Saccharomyces cerevisiae S288C: one gene and its partners. Changing the gene in region 3 together with the main gene of any one other region gives a genetic interaction. Each region holds a gene or a part of one and is shown on either strand. Other genes may lie near its edges.

Region 1 (6,781 bases), on a different chromosome or scaffold from region 3:
ACTCTCATCATCAAGGATACTGATGTTTTGTTTCGAATTGAAACGATGTGTTTTGTTTTGAATACTATATTGGTTGATATGACTCTATCAGAAAGCCCATGGATTAAAAATATCGTTGATGCCAACAAATTCTTCAACCAAAATGTCATATCCGTCTTCCAAACTGGTTTCCAAACTAGTGCCAGTACAAAAGTCAGTCAAATTTTGAAACTTGACTTCGTAAGAACAAGTACAACTTTAATCGGCACTTTGGCTGGTTATTTTAAACAGGAACCTTTTCAATTAAACCCATACGTGGAAGCTTTATTTCAAGGTTTGCACACTTGCACCAATTTTACTAGTAAAAACGAACAAGAAAAAATTTCGAACGATAAACTTGAAGTTATGGTTATCAAGACTGTTTCAACATTATGTGAGACATGCCGTGAGGAGTTGACTCCATATTTGATGCATTTTATAAGCTTTTTAAACACAGTCATTATGCCAGACTCCAATGTTTCACATTTCACTAGAACTAAATTGGTTAGATCTATAGGTTATGTCGTTCAATGTCAAGTCTCCAACGGTCCAGAGGAGCAAGCTAAATATATTTTACAATTGACGAACCTATTGAGCGGCTCAATAGAGCATTGTTTGGCTTCATCGGTACAGTTACAAGAACAACAAGATTATATTAATTGTCTATTATACTGTATATCTGAGCTAGCAACAAGTTTGATCCAACCTACTGAAATCATCGAAAATGATGCATTACTACAAAGGTTATCTGAGTTTCAAAGTTTCTGGTCCAGCGATCCCTTACAAATCCGATCGAAAATTATGTGCACCATTGATAAGGTCTTGGATAATTCAATATATTGTAAAAACTCCGCCTTTGTGGAGATCGGTTGTTTGATTGTTGGTAAAGGATTAAATCTGCCCGACGGGGAACCGTACTTCCTCAAGTACAATATGTCTGAAGTTATGAATTTTGTTTTGCGGCATGTCCCCAACTGTGAGCTTGCTACTTGCTTGCCTTATTTTGTTTATTTATTAGAAAAGCTTATTTCAGAGTTCAGGAAGGAACTAACACCACAAGAATTTGATTTCATGTTTGAAAAGATCCTTCTAGTCTATTATGATGCATATATTATCAATGATCCGGACCTTTTACAAATGACAATAGGTTTTGTTAATAACGTTTTGGACGTGAAGCCAGGCTTAGCTATTGGCAGTAAACATTGGACATCATTTATTTTACCTCAATTTTTAAAATTAATACCTTCAAGAGAAAAGTTCACAATTGTTGCGGTGGCAAAATTTTGGACTAAGTTGATCAATAATAAGAAATACAACCAAGAAGAACTCACAACTGTTAGGCAACAAGTTTCCTCTATAGGAGGAGACCTTGTGTACCAAATTATGTATGGCTTATTCCACACACAAAGGTCCGATCTGAATAGTTACACAGATCTGCTAAGAGCTTTGGTAGCCAAGTTTCCAATTGAAGCAAGAGAGTGGCTCGTTGCTGTTTTGCCCCAAATATGTAACAATCCTGCAGGTCATGAAAAATTTATTAATAAATTACTTATTACGAGAGGAAGCAGAGCAGCTGGAAATGTTATTTTGCAGTGGTGGTTGGATTGTACCACACTTCCAAATTACCAAGGATGATTTGTTAAGAATTTCTCCGCTGAGGGTGAAGGCTATTCTTTGTTACATTTTATTTAGTAATGCGTTGATCCTTTTTGATAGATTTTTTTTTTGTGCTTTAAAGATAGTAGCAGTATATATGTGTGTAAAAGCTAATCATCAGAAGTGCAGCATTCATTGCTAGTATTTAGTGATAAAAATTTTAGAATTTCCATTTCTAATTGTAATTGCTTTTCATTCCAATACATGTTTGAGCTTCTGGGGGGTAAAAATACATTTCCAGACAGGGCGTCAGGTTGAAAGCAGTTACTGAAACATAGAGAGTCGACGTCAGGAGGAGGCTTCAAATGGTTTTCTGAAAGTGATTCGGTCTTATTTTTCCATTTTCTAAAATGGTGAATCCTTTCTCTGGAAATGTGTGATCCCTTTGCCTTTTGTGAAAACTTTTTTAACGAGCTTTTTAGGTTATTAGTTGTCTCAAGAAGGTTTATGGGCCCGCTGGTCTCGATATCTGCGTAATTTAATGGACGTATCGTGTCTTCCATGGAGTGAATTGTGATTTGTGAATTATATCTGTCCAATACCGTTGCCTTGTTGGGAGCTCAGATAGAAAAGACATCTTAATTCCAGACAGTCTATTCTCTGTCTATTTCTCTTTGTGACTGCAAATTTTAATTTGTGACGCCTTTTCTTATTACTCATGTATTTGTCACTCTTGACGATTGTTTTTTTTCTATATTTTTTTTGTTCTGGGGTCCTCCAGAGAATAAAAAATAATGATCAATATAGTAGATAGTATAGTTATATTCTTATTCGTTGCACCTTGTTTAACAAATCACTCAGACTCAAAGAGAATATCGGTTGGTTATCTCTCTCCGAAGGTGAACAGCAAACAGTACCTCACGTCTTTTTTTTGAATAGTTTTTTTTTTTGTTGAAACAGAAAAAAAACTTTCTTCCGTATATTACATTGTACATTATTTTTATTGTATTTTAGTTTCCAACGTTAGGATTTGAGCCGTCATTAATATTATTCGTTTTTGTACACTATTCCAGACGATTTATTTTTAGTACACTTAAAATTCCTGTTGATATTGTCCACTAGTTCTCTTTTCATATTTTATTTTCGCTTATTCTTTAGGTTCTTTTAAGAGTCTCTGTTCATTTTCCGTTCTTACTGTTTCTTTGTCCTCGATATCTTTTAAGAAAGAGAGAACTAAGCGCTGTAACATTTTTAAGTGGACCTACGTTATGTCTACAAAAGGTTTGAAAGAAGAAATCGATGATGTACCATCAGTAGACCCTGTCGTTTCAGAAACAGTCAATTCTGCTTTAGAGCAGTTGCAACTAGATGATCCAGAGGAAAACGCCACCTCTAATGCATTTGCGAATAAAGTTTCTCAAGATTCTCAATTCGCTAATGGCCCTCCGTCGCAAATGTTTCCACATCCACAAATGATGGGTGGAATGGGCTTCATGCCCTACTCTCAAATGATGCAGGTTCCTCATAATCCTTGTCCATTTTTTCCGCCCCCTGATTTTAATGATCCAACAGCACCATTGAGTAGCTCGCCCTTGAATGCAGGCGGTCCACCAATGTTATTCAAGAATGACTCACTTCCATTTCAAATGCTGTCTTCGGGTGCTGCGGTAGCAACTCAAGGTGGACAAAATCTAAACCCATTGATAAATGACAATTCAATGAAGGTATTGCCAATCGCATCGGCTGATCCGTTATGGACTCATTCAAACGTACCAGGATCAGCATCTGTAGCCATTGAAGAAACCACCGCTACTCTACAAGAAAGCCTACCATCTAAGGGCAGGGAGTCTAATAATAAGGCTAGTTCGTTCAGAAGACAAACTTTTCATGCTTTATCACCAACTGACCTTATCAATGCGGCCAACAATGTAACCTTGTCAAAGGACTTCCAATCTGACATGCAGAATTTTTCTAAGGCTAAGAAACCGTCTGTAGGAGCTAACAATACTGCAAAAACCAGAACTCAATCCATATCTTTTGATAATACTCCCTCCTCAACGTCATTTATACCCCCAACCAATAGTGTTTCTGAGAAATTATCCGATTTCAAAATAGAAACCTCGAAGGAGGATTTGATTAATAAAACTGCACCAGCTAAAAAAGAGAGTCCTACAACTTATGGTGCAGCATATCCATATGGGGGACCTTTACTTCAACCAAATCCTATTATGCCAGGCCACCCACATAATATATCCTCCCCTATCTATGGTATTAGATCACCTTTTCCTAATTCTTATGAAATGGGCGCGCAATTTCAACCTTTCTCTCCGATTTTAAATCCTACGAGTCATTCACTAAATGCAAATTCTCCAATTCCTCTAACCCAATCGCCAATTCATCTTGCACCAGTTTTAAACCCTAGTTCAAATTCTGTTGCCTTTTCAGATATGAAGAATGATGGTGGTAAGCCCACCACCGATAACGACAAGGCGGGTCCAAATGTTAGGATGGATTTAATAAATCCTAATCTTGGGCCATCAATGCAACCTTTCCACATATTACCTCCCCAGCAAAACACCCCCCCTCCTCCCTGGCTTTATAGCACTCCACCTCCCTTCAACGCAATGGTTCCGCCTCATTTGTTGGCTCAAAATCATATGCCGTTAATGAATAGCGCCAATAATAAACATCATGGTCGTAATAACAATAGCATGTCAAGTCATAATGACAATGACAACATTGGTAATTCTAATTACAACAATAAAGACACAGGTCGTTCTAACGTTGGTAAAATGAAAAATATGAAAAACAGTTATCATGGCTACTATAATAACAATAATAATAATAATAATAATAACAATAATAATAATAACAGTAATGCTACCAACAGCAACAGCGCGGAAAAACAACGTAAAATTGAGGAGTCGTCGAGATTTGCGGACGCAGTTTTAGACCAATATATCGGAAGTATTCACTCATTGTGTAAAGACCAACATGGTTGTCGTTTTCTGCAAAAGCAGTTGGATATTCTCGGCAGTAAGGCGGCGGACGCAATTTTTGAAGAAACTAAGGATTATACGGTTGAATTGATGACTGATTCATTCGGTAATTATTTGATCCAGAAGCTATTGGAAGAGGTTACCACAGAACAAAGAATCGTACTCACAAAAATATCTTCCCCTCATTTTGTCGAAATTTCCTTAAACCCTCATGGTACTAGGGCATTACAAAAACTCATTGAATGCATCAAAACAGATGAAGAAGCACAGATTGTTGTTGATTCTTTACGCCCTTATACTGTCCAGTTGAGTAAGGATTTAAATGGTAATCATGTTATTCAAAAATGTTTGCAAAGGTTGAAGCCTGAAAACTTCCAGTTTATCTTTGACGCAATCTCTGATAGCTGTATTGATATTGCTACTCATAGACACGGGTGTTGCGTTTTGCAACGTTGTCTAGATCATGGGACTACAGAACAATGTGACAATCTGTGTGATAAGTTGCTAGCCCTTGTTGATAAATTAACTTTGGATCCATTTGGCAACTATGTGGTGCAATATATAATTACCAAAGAGGCTGAGAAGAACAAATATGATTATACGCATAAAATTGTCCACCTGTTGAAACCAAGAGCCATCGAACTTTCTATCCATAAATTTGGATCAAATGTGATTGAAAAAATCTTGAAGACAGCTATTGTTTCGGAGCCAATGATTCTGGAAATTTTAAATAATGGTGGCGAGACGGGTATTCAATCATTGTTGAATGATAGCTACGGAAATTACGTTTTACAGACAGCATTAGACATTTCTCATAAGCAAAATGACTATCTCTATAAAAGACTATCAGAGATTGTGGCGCCTTTACTGGTGGGCCCCATAAGAAATACACCTCATGGTAAAAGAATCATCGGAATGTTACATTTAGATTCATAGTTGATACATATATCCTCAGTTTAGCTTTTTTTACGTTAGCCTCATATAATATCTTTTGTACAATACTAAAATACATCATTTTTTTTTTCGTTGAGGATCAAATGAATATCCAAAGCAAAAAAAATAGGAATTTTCACTTTATGGTATACTGGTAAATAGTGTTGAAGAAATAAGAGAAGGAGATGCCCTAGAAAACAGAATGTTCTTATTTAAATAAGTAAACTCAAAAGAAAAAAAAAAGGAAGGAAGTTTTTGAGAACTTTTATCTATACAAACGTATACGTTTAACTATCTGGATAAACGTCGCTCCACAGGATACTGTAGAGGTCCTCAAGATCACCGTTATTAACAAATTCATCTAGTGTCCCCAAATTAAAACTAGTTGCAGAAAAATTGTTACTGTTGTTGTTGTTAATATTGTTAATATTGTTTTTATTGTTGTTGTTGTTGTTGTTGTTGTTATTGATTTCATTTGTGTTCATAAATGGTACTTGTACTGAAGTGGGTATTTGCTGCTGAGCATTGATTGGTTTATTAGATTGGACTTGCGTATTATTTTGCCCATTTGTTGGTTGCGCGTAATCGGGATTGATCATATCAGACACGGATAATGACCTAAATGAAGGCAATTGTGCAAACTCCGGTAGTGAGTTGTTTCTCACTGGGGAAGGTGCTGAGCGACCATTGAATGGCAATTGAGGCGATTCAATGCCATTTAGTAAGCATGAAGTGCCCGTCTTAAGACTTGGGAGATCCGGATTCAAATTTTTTCCCGAATTATGCTTCATCTGCTTATTATCTTCATTTGACATTAGTGGTTCCTGAAACTTTCTATTTTTCAACATTTGTGAGACCGTTAAATGGAATCCTGACTTCTGAACAGGTTCTAATAAAAATCGATAAGCGCAAGAGTTTGTATCCAAGACAAGTTCTATTATACCTTTTAAATCTGGCGCATTCTCATCAATATATTTGGAGATAACATCGAGGTTGGTGCTAGAGGACTCTCCGTATGCCAAAAGCATGATACGAGTGACGATTGTCAGGAAAGAAAAAGCTCTTGTATAGTCTTTAAAGCTTTGGCTGTTGAAGACATGCTCATTGGTCTCATTTTCGGAAAAAATTTTTATATCCAAAAATCTTTTGAAGACTCTAATCATATTCACAACGTCATTTACTTTAATGAATTCGGCCACTGAGAATGCTTGTGATACCAAAATAATGCAACTGAT
Region 2 (4,729 bases), on a different chromosome or scaffold from region 3:
CTTTTTTCAAACGGCGTAGTATAGTAACATATTTTGTAAAGAAAGACACCAAGAGCCCAAATATCAGATTTTTCGTCGATAGGTAACCCTCTGTACAGGTCAATCATTTCAGGTGATCTATACTGAGCTGTAGTATTTGTTAGGATGTCGTGTTGAACATAATTAAACTCTTGAGTATTTCTAGGTGGCCTTATCACACCGGAAACGGAACCAAAATCACAAACTTTATACAAGCCATCATGAGAAATAAGTACATTCTCAATCTTAATATCTCTATGAATCAATGGCGGCTGCAGAGCGTGCATTGCAGTTATACCTTGGACGGTTTGACTCATAATTTCTAATATTTCAGATTCTTGTAATCTATTTTGTAATCTGGTGTTCATAAAATCTATAAGACCTCCACGTTCACAAAATTCCATTAACACAAACACCTCATATGCTATACCATTTACAGACCTTGCAGCATGTGAATCTATGTAAGAAACAACATGCTTATTATTTCTAAGGAGTTTCATAGCATCCACTTCAGCTCTCAAGGTATTTAAACCCTGTTTATGGGGGACAATGACTCTTTTCAAGCATGCTATGTTAGCATTGCTATATGGGTCAGGAGGGGAAATTTCGGCAGTATATACTTGTGCGAATCCACCACTCGTAAGGTATTTGATAATCTTAGCATGATGAGATCCCACAGTTAATATTGTCCCGGGTTCATACAGACTAATCTGTGGAGTATTCATTGTTTTTGGATCAGTTCAACTAAAGATAGGAGGTTACAAATAATCTTGATCAACACTTCAATCAAAAAAGATTTTTTTCGCTGAAGATAATAAACTATCCCACAATGGAAATTCAACCTGTATTAGCGAACTAACTTATGTTCAAGTGGAGCCTGTGACCTGCCTGCTTGGTGACTTTTTTAGCGTTTCCTAAATGTACTGTTCTATATTTTTCTTTTTCCAAGACCTTCGCTCTGCATACGCCTGCCTGGTTATAATTACAGTTTTTTTTAAAAACCTTTACTAAGAATAAATAGTAACAGCTAGTGCAAACTAACGACATTGACATTTACTTGATATAAAATAATTGAGAGCGATCATATATATCGGAAATCTCTATCAGTACTAATATTAAATTTACATGAAATACTTCAACAAATTCCTGGTCTCTTGGCCCAGTTGGTTAAGGCACCGTGCTAATAACGCGGGGATCAGCGGTTCGATCCCGCTAGAGACCACTTATTTTTATGACTTCTTGGAAGTCAATTTTTTTTTCCTTCTGAATCAGTAATAACAAAAGTCGTAGTTGATCTTGTTATTGGATCATGTACATCAGTATTATTAATGATTTTAGTATTTCAAGCTGGCTCCCATATTTTTCTCCTGTAGAAAGAATGTAAATTATTCGGAAAAAAAAAAAAAAAAAGAAAAGAATTGGCGATGCGATGAGCTTAAAAGAAAACCTTCCATTACTTAAATTCATTGGAGCCTGACAACGTTTAGTAACGTTAAAATCATAGATTAACACCAATCATAACCTAAAATTATCAATGGCCAGGAAATTGAAGGGTAAGATTGGGAGTAAAGGCCTAAAAGGTGCATTATTAAGGCACAAGGCCAAAGTGAAATTAGTGAGGAATATTGAAAGTAAGCAAAAACATGAACTAAGAAAGAAAAATTCGAGCGCTAATAACAAAACCGTGAAGAGAAACCAAGAATTCCAAAAACTTAATCAAGGGAAGGTTATGCCCTTTGAGAAGGATGAAACTTTGATGCTATGTGGTGAAGGAGATTTTTCTTTTGCCAGATCCATTGTTGAACAAAACTATATTGAAAGTGACAATTTAATCATAACAAGTTACGATAATTCTGTGAATGAGCTGAAATTGAAATATCCGCATACTTTTGAGGAAAATTACCAGTACTTAAAAGATCTAAATATTCCGATATTTTTCCAGATTGACGTTACGAAGCTCGTAAAGAGCTTTAAAATTTCCAAAAATAATACTTGGTTTAAAATAATCAACAGGCTTAGCGATCATCGTTGGGGTAACAAACCTTTACAAAATATAGTTTTCAATTTTCCCCATAATGGAAAAGGTATTAAGGATCAAGAAAGAAATATTAGAGAGCATCAGGACTTAATTTTTAACTTTTTCCAAAATTCCTTACAATTATTTAATCTTATAAACACGAAAATTCAAAATGATACTCTTCGTTATACGCAAGGCTATGATCTTAATGAGGATACTCCCCAGGCTAAAAAATTGACCGCCGAAGGTTATGGTAACATCATACTGTCCCTTTTCGATGGAGAGCCCTATGATTCATGGCAAATCAAACTTTTAGCCAAAAAAAATGGACTAACTCTGAGCAGATCGAGCAAATTCCAATGGGAAAATTTTCCAGGATATCATCACCGGAGAACGAATAGCGAACAAGATACTACAAAACCTGCGAAAGAACGTGATGCTAGGTTCTACATCTTTAGTAAATATGTCTCGAATAGTTCAAAACATAACCGTAAAAGCAAAAAAGACACAGATTCTGATTCAGACTAAGTACAGAAGGAAGAATGTCGCCATGTTGATGAAAGAACTTTCATTTTCCCTAATTCTTATATAGCGTAAGTATCTGTAAAATAGTTGTGAAAGTTGGACAAATCTTTATATAAAAAAATGCATATAGCTTGAAACTATTTCAGGTTGGGTACATTTTGATAGAATCTGATTCGCAAAATATTTTCATGTCAACTGGATCCATAATTTGACCTGGATTTAAAGAAATTAAGTTTTGCTTTTTCAATGTTTTGGCCAATTTCTTCAATTTTTTACTGTCGTAAACATTTCCATTTGGTAATAGTATTGGATTTTCAAATAATTGAGACTGAATGTGATGAGCAAATGGTAATGCCTGTGTTATTGGTTTGAAAGTCTCACTGCAAACGGGACAATTTTTCCTTTTTAGTGAATGTAGCGTAAAGAGTTGTAAATCTTCAACTTCTTTCTCTGCTGTTGTGGCAGTTTCCGTCTCTTGATTTCCATTTTCATCGTCAGAAGGGTGCAGGCAATCTCTTGTCTTCAAAGACGATATACCTAGTGACAGGTATATCAATAAAGGGTCATTTTGTGATATGCCATACATGGAATAAAAGTCGCTCAAGAATAAATCATTTAATACCGACCATCTTTGATCATCTAATAAATTCAGATATCTTTCGAAATCTCCACTTTGTAAATTTATTAAGGAACTCTTGTCATAGTCTGTTGTATTCACCGCAGGTTTGGAGGTAATTCTAGGTAAAGATTTGTGAAAAAAATGTTGAAATATTCGATCTTTCTTCATTGGTAAACTTTGAGACTTAATCTCTTCAGTATCGAATCCAGAGCTGGTAGAAGAAGTTGGCTTTTGATCATTACAGTATTTGATAAAAATCAGAAGTCCAGATGCTAATTTTAAATCGGTGAAGTTGCTCTTAACGAATGGTAAAAGGAATCTTTGAAAACATACTATAGCGTCGGTATAGTTATCCACCTTTAGTAGTTCAATATATTCTTGCAATCTTGCTTGAAACTCTAATATAGAGGACTTTTTGGTCAGTGTCTTTTTGTTCTCGTTTATCCATGAAATTAGGGGTAAGAGATTACGCTCATGTAGTAACGAAGTCGAAATTCTATTAGCCTCCAAGAGGACATCATAATCAATGAGATCATCCAGTTGGCTCTGTTTCAAAAACACTACGCCAGAGTTCCAATGATCCTTTGTCTCCGAGTTGTATTTAATCGGGTTATTCCTCGTCAGATAATCACCAATTAAAATGTTTGTATAACTCTGATACCACTGTATCAATTTAGTCCTGGTACCCTCATTATTTCCATTGTGCGATGTTCCTGAATTTTGTGACTTGATGTCCTTCAGTTCGTGGAAAAACTCCAGCCTTTTTTTAATTCTGTTCAAAATCTGACAGTAGGACTTGATTTGCGTATTTAAAAATCTTTCTATATGGTCAACTTTCCTAATCATTTCAGTTATTTTTGCTAGTGCCAACTCGTCGTGCTCAACGTCATTATGTTCAAATATTTGATTTAATGCGGCCGTGTGTTCATGTAGTGATTTGGTTTCCTTATTAATTACCGCTTGAGTATGCTTGATACGTTTGGACAGTAGTTCATAAGGAATATGAAATAATTGTTGATTTAATTTCAAATGGAAATCCACATCAGGCTCATTAAATATTGATTTCTCTGCCATGGCTTACCTACTTTCCTATAATTTATAATCATTTTCTCTGTTTTATGTATGAAATTGTAGATTTAACCACCCCCTTCTCTTCGCCTTTGCAAAAAGTGAATATCTCAAATTGCACTAGAGTTTCATTTGCAGCGATAAGTGGATAACAAAAAGCTGAAAAGAGAGAGAAAGAGAGAGTGCCAGGGAAATGGATAGACCAAGAACATTACGCACATATAGAGGACTCATAAGAGCCATTCTGAAATATGAAAGGCCAAGCAAGATAGTCAATTGGGGCAATCTACGAAAGGCAATGATAACAAAGTTGGAATATGCTAAGAAACAAAATCAGAGAGACTCGCATGAGAACATCAACAGACAGTTAGAGAAATGGAAAAAACTAGATCCGGTAAGCGACAGATCTTTGAATTTGTTTATAGCCGACTCTAAGTCATTACGTTCCATATTACAAAACGATATAAAGTGGGAGAAAAAGG
Region 3 (5,791 bases):
ACCAGGGCTTGTCACTAGAGCTCCGTCCTGCTGGGCTCAAACGCGCCTAATTTATTCAGGGAGAACGGACGGACGTAGACGCGATTTTTTTGTCAAAGCACAAAAAGCTGACATCAGGAAGAAAATCAATAGTGCACCAAAGGTATATGGTGTGGGTTGCTAAAATGTTCGGATGTAAAGTAGTATTGAAAAAAAATGGGAAAAGTGTGTGAATGATAGTTTGTAGGTTTATGCATAGGGCGGAATAGCTGACTTGATACTGAACTGATAGGTTTAGATTATGAAGTTATTATACATGTATATATTGTAGTCAGTCATATGGTATGGAAAAATCCCTCTTTCCCAACCTAATATACACTGAAACAAGGAAAAAGGAACAAAGAAGAAAAATTGTAAGGTTTCAAACCATACTAGATTACACCTTGAAACCCTTAGATCTTCTTCTACCTCTAGCTCTTTCGAACTTTCTACCGGTGGACAAGATTCTTGGAGCCTTACCCTTGTGTGGACCCATACCGAAGTGTCTGACCGCTTCTCTGGAGTTTCTTGGACCTCTCAAGATCAAAGTGTTTTGACCCTTAGGAGCTCTGACAGCTAATTGATCTAAAGTGATACATTCACCGCCAGCCTTAACGATCTTGGCTCTGGCACCAGCAGTGAATCTCAAAGCAGCAACAGTGGTCTTTGGGAATTCGAAGATCCTGGCATCGTCAGTAACGGTACCAACAACGACAACAGTCTTGTTGGCAGCACCTTCTTGCTTCAAAGCTCTAGCAATTCTGGAGACTGAAACAGGTGGTCTGTTGATCTTAGACAAGAACAAAGCCTTCAAAACAACCTTGTTGAATGGAGCATCAGTACGACCTGTGATTAAGACAAGAAAAACAAAAGTTTTTACGTTATGTTAGTAAAGGGATAAAGGATTTGTTGGTATTCTCGATAGGCAGCTTTTAATTTCTTCCATTAATTGAAGCCAAAAAGAGTGCAAAACGAAAAAGTACCAATTTGTTTTTCTCTTTGAAGAAAAAAGATTCTGCTCAGTTAATAGTTGGTCCGCACTTGAAGGTCGTATTGTACTTCCTTTAGTACTCGCAGAATTTCCAGAAAACTACCGCTTTCTGTTCTAGTGGAAATCTTTAACACAAAAGAGAACAAATTCCACTTTTGTCTAAGAGATCCGTCGCACGCAACGATACTAAGACTGAAGCCATTAGAAGATCGCCGGGACTAGAAGTTAATAATATCACAGAATCCTTTTATCCTGAAGAAAATTGGGAGGGAGATTTCAATACATACGAGCTAGGAAAGTGTATAGTTTGACCAATAATTTCAAATAGACGTTATCGGATTTTGGAGCGGTTCTATGACCGGATCTTTTGTGTTGCTTGGAAGTGTGATCAATACCCATTTTGTTTTTTGTTTTCTTCTAATTGATTTTTTCTTTCTATTTCCTTTGGTGAAACAGGTAGTTTTGTTCAAAAGAAATCATTCAATGGTTTAAATAAAAGCAAGAAGTATGAAAATTTTTTTATTTTTTCTTCAGAATTTTATCATAGTTGTCGTAAAATAACGAGGTCGGGTAACGTGTTTGGTGTACTGAGGTCTTTTTTAAAAGAAGCTCCAGCAAGAAAGAGTTTTGTGTGATGGCTAATGAAGTGTCAATTGCATTTGGAAAGCAGCCTGATTTCTTGGGCGTGAATATGAAATTCTTCTTTTGTTATTTTATAATATGAAGTATGAATGAAAACATAAAGCGCGCTGAGACAACGACTGTTCAATGTAAAATAAAGAAAATCTATCGTTCTCAAGACGTGGTCCCATTTTTTTTTACTTTGAATTTCGTCAGCAGTGTGACATGGTTAGAATGTAACCCCACATTTGCAAAGAGATTGTTACAGGAGCGTTCTAATTGTCCCGTACTGGTACATTCATAAGTGAAAAGAAAGCCATATCGGGCGCGCTGGTTTGTGAGCCACAGAAACCGGACAAGGCACTTCTTGAATACTTCCCAAGGAAAGCGCCAAGGTTTACGGTTCTGATGGGAATGCAGGGGGGAATCTAGTCTTGAAGTATCCTTATTCCTTAAAAAAAATATTGGACATCCTCTTCGAAATTAACAACGACGCCAAAAACTTGTCTATGTTTTCAAAACCGCGCGTCACGAAAAAGCAGGAAGCACAAAGAAGTGACGCGAAAATGACGGTATATATAGCCATTAGCAGTCGCCAAAAGGTGAAGATCCTGACACGAAATGTAGCAGAGTCACTACATTGATACTGATCTTGTACTTCCGAATAAGGCACCGCCAGATCAATTCTGTCTGATTTTGGCGTCTTCTGGTATAGTCTTGTAATGAACGGTGGTGATTCTCGAGGAAAATAAAATTCGTGATAAATACATGCATGTGTATATATAAGGCGCTATATATGGCCTTGAAACTTTGTTATTACGCCTACTCCATCTTTATTGGTACATATATCATTTAAAAGAGTAGTCCATAGAAAACCAACTGCATTCCTTCCTTATCCCTGCCTTCGGCTAATTTTAAACCAACTTTTTACCTTCCTTTAATATCAATATCAAAATACAATGAAATTCTCTACTCTCTCCACCGTTGCTGCCATTGCCGCATTTGCTTCCGCAGATTCCACCTCTGATGGTGTCACTTACGTAGATGTTACCACCACCCCACAAAGTACTACATCTATGGTCTCCACCGTGAAAACTACTTCCACTCCATACACTACAAGTACCATTGCCACTCTATCCACTAAATCTATCAGTAGCCAAGCTAACACCACCACCCATGAGATCAGCACATACGTCGGCGCTGCCGTTAAAGGCTCCGTTGCGGGTATGGGTGCCATCATGGGTGCTGCTGCCTTTGCTTTGTTATAAGTTGCATGGACAACTTAAACTAGGAAGGATATTCCGCTTCATTTCATTAATTTCACATTTTTTTATCTACATGATATGTATTTTCCCTCAGTTACCAGATTCGCTAGCTTCGAAGCAAGGACTCCTTGGTCATACTTAATAAAGGAACGTCTGCTTCATTCTCCTAAAGTTCCTTTCGATAAGGACGCAGAAGGCACCTTACTAGACCATTGTATAAACTCATAACTACATACTAATTCAACGATATGTTACATTTATTTTCTTGTGGTTACCCCCCGCAAATTTCCAGGCATCTCATCTCATCGCAGTTAAAAAAAAAAAAGTTGTAAAAAGGTAATAAAGCGATACTTGATGAAAGCAAACATCTGTAATAACAGTTCACAAGGTTAAGCTGGTTCGTTTCACTAGCGTATCATTTTTTATTTTTCAAATAAACAAACGAGGGCGGAGTTTATTGGGTCGTCATGACAAGGCTCAAAGCAAAATATTCACCTACAAAAGGTAAAAGAAAAGAAGATAAACATACAAAACGTATGCGTAAATCATCCTTCACAAGAACGCAAAAAATGCTTGAAGTATTTAACGATAATCGCTCGCATTTTAACAAGTACGAGAGCCTCGCTATCGACGTTGAAGACGATGACACTTTCGGAAACCTAGTCTTAATGGAAAATGATAAAAGTGATGTCGACATACCTGTAATAGAAGAAGTCACATCAAGTGAAGATGAACAAAGGGCAGAATCTAGCAAAAGAAACAATTCTCTCGAAGATAATCAAGATTTTATTGCTTTTTCGGACAGCTCTGAAGATGAAACAGAACAAATAAAGGAAGATGATGATGAAAGAAGCAGTTTTCTGTTGACCGATGAACATGAAGTTTCTAAGCTTACTTCACAGCAATCTCTGAACACTGAAAGCGCTTGCAATGTGGAGTATCCTTGGATAAGAAATCATTGTCATTCGAAACAAAGGAGAATAGCAGATTGGCTAACTTCAGAAATCAAAGATTTCGTTCATTATATCTCTCCAAGCAAGAACGAAATCAAGTGCAGAAATAGAACGATCGATAAACTACGCCGGGCGGTCAAGGAACTGTGGTCGGATGCAGATTTGCATGTGTTTGGTTCTTTTGCCACCGATTTATATTTGCCGGGTTCTGACATTGACTGTGTCGTAAACAGCCGGAATCGCGATAAAGAGGACAGAAATTACATTTATGAATTGGCGAGACATTTGAAAAACAAAGGGCTAGCTATAAGAATGGAGGTTATTGTTAAAACGCGAGTGCCTATTATCAAATTCATAGAGCCCCAATCACAGTTACATATCGACGTTTCATTTGAAAGAACGAACGGGTTAGAGGCTGCAAAACTCATCAGGGAATGGCTAAGAGACTCTCCAGGGTTACGTGAACTGGTACTGATAATAAAACAATTTTTGCATTCAAGACGATTGAACAATGTGCACACAGGAGGATTGGGAGGTTTCACAGTAATCTGTTTGGTTTATTCTTTTTTAAATATGCATCCGCGAATAAAATCAAACGATATCGACGTTCTAGATAACCTGGGTGTTCTACTGATTGACTTCTTCGAACTTTACGGAAAAAATTTTGGTTATGATGACGTTGCTATAAGCATATCTGATGGTTACGCCTCTTATATTCCTAAATCGTGTTGGAGAACTTTGGAACCTTCAAGGAGTAAATTCTCGCTAGCTATTCAAGATCCTGGTGATCCTAACAATAATATAAGCAGAGGCTCCTTTAATATGAAGGATATAAAAAAGGCCTTTGCTGGTGCCTTCGAACTGTTGGTCAATAAATGCTGGGAATTGAATTCTGCTACATTCAAAGACCGCGTTGGAAAAAGTATACTCGGAAACGTGATCAAATACCGTGGGCAAAAGAGAGATTTCAACGACGAAAGAGATTTAGTGCAGAATAAAGCCATCATTGAAAACGAGCGCTACCACAAGAGGCGCACGAGGATAGTTCAAGAAGATTTATTTATAAACGACACCGAAGACTTGCCAGTAGAGGAGATCTACAAACTTGACGAACCTGCAAAGAAGAAACAGAAGGCAAAAAAGGATAAGAGAGAAGGGGAAATCAAAAAGAGTGCCATTCCATCTCCACCTCCGGATTTTGGAGTGAGCAGAAGCAAATTGAAACGCAAAGTGAAAAAAACTGATCAGGGCTCTCTCCTACACCAAAACAACCTCAGCATAGATGACTTGATGGGACTTTCTGAGAATGATCAAGAATCCGATCAAGATCAAAAAGGAAGAGATACCCCTTCGGGACAAGATGAGAAATCACCACTGGAAACTAAGACAGTAGATGCTCAAACGAGAAGGGACTACTGGCTCTCTAAAGGCCAGGCTCTTTAACACAATATAGACTCTTATAGACTATTTACTATTTATACAAGAATACCACATCGATGTCCAAGTGAAACAATAAGCTAATGATATCAAACGCGTGGGTATTTTCCCTTTCCGGAAATATAGAGCCACCAAAAAAGGATAGTTTCCCGATATGGAAATTTTCTCGAGCCGGTAAGATGACGAAATTTTTCATCTCTGGCATGATAGAAACATAGTATGGAACGTGCAGGAGAGTCTGATTCGAGACACATAATTTGAAAGAACCTTCTAGCCTGAGCCTTGTACATGTATTAGCGTTGCCAGTTATTTGCTTCTGCTGCTAATAAGATCAAAACCTTAAGTCCTTTATTTCGATCGAACGTACTGCGCTACTGAAAACCATTGCATCTTTTGCTATCATTCATTCCTGGTGGTTTCTTTGGTGTAATAAATCGAACAGTGAAACTGAAACATAAAAGAAATAGTGCAAAATATGTCTCTTTCAGCTGCAGCGAATAAGATAT
Region 4 (4,760 bases), on a different chromosome or scaffold from region 3:
GGTCTTTCGTAACTCTCGCTATCTTGATCTTTAGATTTAAATTCCAATTCGAACCTGTTTGGCAATTGGAAATCTAATTGGATGGTGGCACATTGATGCCATCTTCTTAAAGCGTCAGAAATCATAATGTCAATCTTTGGACCGTAGAAAGCACCATCACCAGCATTGATCTCCCAGTTACCACCCCATTTCTTTAAGGCAGATTCTAATTTTGATTCAGCGGCATCCCAGGTTTCGATCTTTCCAACGTACTTTTCTGGTCTAGTGGACAATTCCATCTTAAATTCAAATCCAAAAACGCCGTAAATGTATTGCAAAAAGTTGAAAATATTTTCAATTTCAGACTCAATTTGGTCATGGGTACAGAAGATATGAGCATCATCTTGTTGGAATCTTCTGACACGAGTCAAACCAGACAAGGCACCAGAAAATTCATTTCTGTGGATAACACCGAAGTCTGCAACTCTCCATGGCAATTCTCTATAAGAACGTTCTCTAGACTTGAACATCAAACAATGACCTGGACAGTTCATTGGTTTTAGACCGAAAGTTTCCTTCTCTACTTCGAAAGTAAACATGTTTTCCTTGTAATTGGCCCAGTGACCTGAGGTTTCCCACAATTTGGAGTTGTACATGTTTGGAGTGATGACTTCTTCGTAACCTCTCTTACGGTATTCGGTTCTCAACAAGTCAACCAAAGTGTTGTAAATTCTAGTACCATGAGGTAACCAAAAGCAAGAACCTGGGGACATTTCATTGAATAAGAATAATTCTTGTTCTTTACCAATCTTTCTGTGATCTCTCATAGAGGCTTCCGCCAAGAACTTCAAATGAGCATCCATTAATTTTTTGTCTGGAAAAGAGATACCGTAAACTCTTTGTAAAGAGTCGTTTGTCGCATCACCTAAGAAATAACAAGAAGAGTTCTTTAATAGTTTGAAAGCTTTGATACGCCCAGTATGTGGGATATGAGGGCCGACACATAGATCAATCAATTTACCGCAACGGTAGACGGTAGTAGCACCTCCATCTGGAACCTTTGTCTGTACCAAGTAAGTCTTATACTTCGAATAATGAAACATTTTCAAAAGATCTTCTTTGGACATGACCAATCTTTCAAATTTTTGCTTTTGCTTGATAACATTCTTGGCAACGCCTTCCAATCCTGGGAAATCAGCTTGGGAGACGGTTCTTTCTGGAGATTCAGATATATCTTTCATACTATCTCTAACAGCCATTTCATAAAAGAACCCATCATCAGTTGGAGGACCTAAACAAATATGGGCACCTAGGTGGCACTCACAAGATTCACCCAAGACGTGGGCAGACGAATGCCAAAAGACCTTCTTACCTTCGTCAGATTCGAAATCTAGCAGTTCTAATTTGATTTCTTCGTTGGCTTCGCCTTCAAATGGTCTATCTAAGTCCCATAATTGACCATTAACCTTAGAAATACATAACCTGTCTGCTAAAGATTTAGAAATTCCTTTGGCAATATCCATCGGAGTGGTTTCCCAAGAAGTGGCTTCCTTAACGGCTCCATCCTTCAAGACAATCTTCAATGGAACACGTGGCATAGAAGCAACTTTATCATTGTATTCCTTTTGTAATCTGTCAAACATTTCAATTCTTTCCTCGATGAAAGTTGGTTCAGGATCCAAGTACAAGGACTGTTGCTTGGATTTTTTGTTTTCTTTCTTATTTGGTTTTACGGCATCATTACTACTATCCTTGACAGACAGCTTTTTGACTTGCTCAGTGACACCTGCTTCACTAGCACTCATCTCCGTTTTATTTTCTTGCTCTGTTAGCTGTTAATTTTTCGTTAACCTGTAATCTTTCAGATGACACATCATTTAATGCACGATTTATCTAACTTTCTTTTGTTGCCATCGCAAGTATTTTTTTCAAGTGAAAATTCCTCGAAAAAAATTTTTTAGCAAGATAGCCGTATATGATGATTTATACATATCACAAGGTAAGAGTCATTTAAACAGTAAAAAGAAAGCGTTTGCGTCAGCATATACAATGGCACATCTGTAAATTCATTTATATATTATATGAAAATGTGACTTCAATATTTCTAAAGTGACTTCCATAGGCGCTTGTCCTTTGTCTTTGTTTCTTGCTACTGTTAAAGCTCATTGACAGGCTTTTCAATTTCTTGGTCCATGAAAAAATGAAAAATTACTAAAAATTAGCGATGCGATGAGTGGGAAAGGTCCAACATTCTCACATGAGGAATACAAAGGAAGCGGACCACGGAGCTAAGATATTATGTCGACATTGTTATCTGAGGTAGAAAGTATCGATACTTTGCCGTATGTGAAGGATACAACACCGACAGGAAGTGACTCGTCATCATTTAATAAATTATTGGCTCCTTCCATAGAGGATGTAGATGCTAACCCAGAGGAACTGAGGACTTTACGTGGCCAAGGACGGTATTTTGGAATAACAGATTATGACTCAAACGGTGCGATAATGGAGGCAGAGCCAAAGTGTAATAATTGTTCGCAAAGAGGTCATTTGAAAAGGAATTGTCCCCATGTGATATGTACTTACTGCGGGTTTATGGATGATCATTACTCACAACACTGCCCTAAGGCTATTATTTGCACTAATTGTAATGCAAACGGCCATTATAAATCACAGTGTCCTCATAAATGGAAGAAGGTGTTCTGCACGCTTTGCAATAGCAAAAGACACTCAAGAGAAAGATGTCCTAGTATTTGGAGATCTTATTTATTAAAAACAAAAGATGCTAACCAAGGTGACTTCGATTTTCAAACAGTTTTCTGTTATAACTGTGGGAATGCCGGTCATTTTGGCGATGACTGTGCTGAAAGAAGGTCATCGAGAGTGCCGAACACTGATGGAAGTGCATTTTGCGGTGATAACTTAGCCACAAAATTTAAACAACACTATTTTAACCAATTGAAAGACTATAAACGTGAAGCTTCACAAAGGCAACACTTTGATAACGAACATGAATTCAACCTGCTTGACTATGAATATAACGACGATGCATACGACCTCCCTGGCTCAAGGACTTATAGAGATAAAATGAAATGGAAGGGCAAAGTGCAGTCAACAAGGAACAAAAATAGTAGCAATAATAGATATGAAAGCAGTAATAACAGGAAGAAGAAGTCACCATTTAGCGCACAGAACTACAAAGTGACGAAAAATAAAAGAGTTCAGACACACCCCTTAGATTTCCCCAGAAGTAGCCAAAACAACAGAACGAACGATTATTCGAGCCAGTTCAGCTATAATAGGGACGACTTCCCCAAGGGTCCTAAGAATAAGAGGGGCCGATCATCTTCTAACAAAAGCCAAAGAAATGGCCGTTATTGAGATTATATGTGAGTTTTTTTAATTTTTTTTCCATTCTCATTGCAGCAAACATATATATGTTTATTTTATAGGGATTTTTTGTATCGATAGAGCAGTACAAAGCAAAAAAAAAGTACATTGTTGGAGTCTCGTATTTCTTACTTACTGTCTTAGCAGTAGTAGAAGAGATTTGTACAAAAAAATATGGTCTCTAGCGGGATCGAACCGCTGATCCCCGCGTTATTAGCACGGTGCCTTAACCAACTGGGCCAAGAGACCAGATATTTCATATGTTCTGTTGTATTACGGGCTCGAGTAATACCGGAGTGTCTTGACAATCCTAATATAAACAGTCTTAGGGAAGTAACCAGTTGTCAAAACAGTTTATCAGATTAATTCACGGAATGTTACTTATCTTATATATTATATAAAATATGAATCATACTAAGTGGTGGAAGCGCGGAATCTCGGATCTAAACTAATTGTTCAGGCATTTATACTTTGGGTAGTTCAGCTAGGGAAGGTCGGGTTTTGTCTCATGTTGTTCGTTTTGTTATAAGGTTGTTTCATATGTGTTTTATGAACGTTCAGGGTGACGTATTGTCATACTGACATATCTCATTTTGAGATACAACATCTTCCTCTCTCTCAGGGTTGTCTTGTGTTTCGTAGAGTTGTCTAAAGTTGGCTAATATTGATCTTCGTGTTCTTTCGGGAATTTGGCAAAATTCAGCTTCTGAGTATTCTACTGAAAGTGTTGGGTCTACGTCTTGCATGTGACATAAGTAAGTTTTGTGTGTAGTATCTATTCCTATGAGTGCAGTAACTTCGTGTGCTCTCTTAATTCTCTCAGTGGAGCTGATTGGTTTATTCTTTGGGTACGCGTCTGGACGGTATACAAACTTTTCAGGAATTGTACATTAATAACTCTGTGCTTTTTCTTGTGAGAGTTTAAATCTAGTTCGTAGGCGTTATCGTTTATTTTCTTAACAACTCGAAATGGTCCGACGTATATTTGTTGTACTTTCATATAAGCACCTTTCTTGAAGTATGCATCTCTATGCACTAATACGTGATCTCCTATGTTTAACAATAAGGGTTTACGTCTTTGATTGTTATTAGTTTCCATTTCGATTTGAGCGTGTTCTAGCTGTTCCTTCGTTTGGATGGTAAGGGCTTTGAGGTGTTTGGCAAGTTCTACGGCAGTAAAACTTCTTGCGTTGACTTCGTCATCTGACTTAATAGCAGGGGTATTCGGTAAATATCCTAAATCAATTTCAAATGGTGATTTTCCAAGTGTTCTAGTAGGTGTAGAGTTGTAAACAAATTCGATTTGTGGTAAATATACATGCCAATTCTGAATATTGGTTGAAACATAGGCTCTTAGTAACCTGTTTAATGTCTGTATCGTTCGTTCGGAT

What was found.
Region 1: mutations in TRF5 (region 3) and PUF4 together harm fitness more than expected from each alone (negative genetic interaction), as found in Saccharomyces cerevisiae (3 studies listed by BioGRID).
Region 2: mutations in TRF5 (region 3) and BMT5 together harm fitness more than expected from each alone (negative genetic interaction), as found in Saccharomyces cerevisiae (2 studies listed by BioGRID).
Region 4: mutations in TRF5 (region 3) and AIR1 together harm fitness more than expected from each alone (negative genetic interaction), as found in Saccharomyces cerevisiae (3 studies listed by BioGRID).

What each region holds. Positions count from the first base shown.
Region 1 is NC_001139.9:463,259-470,039, forward strand, and holds PUF4 (Puf4p), read left to right. Parts: upstream 1-2,882; coding exon 2,883-5,549; downstream 5,550-6,781. Other genes in the region: KAP122 (Kap122p), read left to right, coding at 1-1,653; BIL2 (Bil2p), read right to left, coding at 1,785-2,177; drug-responsive transcription factor PDR1, read right to left, coding at 5,834-6,781. UniProt on the Saccharomyces cerevisiae protein: Is not essential for haploid growth, but may affect diploid formation.
Region 2 is NC_001141.2:179,951-184,679, reverse strand, and holds BMT5 (25S rRNA (uracil2634-N3)-methyltransferase), read left to right. Parts: upstream 1-1,552; coding exon 1,553-2,563; downstream 2,564-4,729. Other genes in the region: serine/threonine protein kinase PRK1, read right to left, coding at 1-743; glucose-induced degradation complex subunit FYV10, read right to left, coding at 2,703-4,253; FMC1 (Fmc1p), read left to right, coding at 4,441-4,729. UniProt on the Saccharomyces cerevisiae protein: S-adenosyl-L-methionine-dependent methyltransferase that specifically methylates the N(3) position of uridine 2634 (m3U2634) in 25S rRNA.
Region 3 is NC_001146.8:63,155-68,945, forward strand, and holds TRF5 (non-canonical poly(A) polymerase TRF5), read left to right. Parts: upstream 1-3,362; coding exon 3,363-5,291; downstream 5,292-5,791. Other genes in the region: 60S ribosomal protein eL18 RPL18B, read right to left, coding at 416-864, 1,297-1,408; TOS6 (Tos6p), read left to right, coding at 2,590-2,898; serine/threonine protein kinase CLA4, read left to right, coding at 5,761-5,791. UniProt on the Saccharomyces cerevisiae protein: Catalytic subunit of the TRAMP5 complex which has a poly(A) RNA polymerase activity and is involved in a post-transcriptional quality control mechanism limiting inappropriate expression of genetic information.
Region 4 is NC_001141.2:209,523-214,282, reverse strand, and holds AIR1 (TRAMP complex RNA-binding subunit), read left to right. Parts: upstream 1-2,277; coding exon 2,278-3,360; downstream 3,361-4,760. Other genes in the region: threonine--tRNA ligase THS1, read right to left, coding at 1-1,784. UniProt on the Saccharomyces cerevisiae protein: Component of the TRAMP (TRF4) and TRAMP5 complexes which have a poly(A) RNA polymerase activity and are involved in a post-transcriptional quality control mechanism limiting inappropriate expression of genetic information.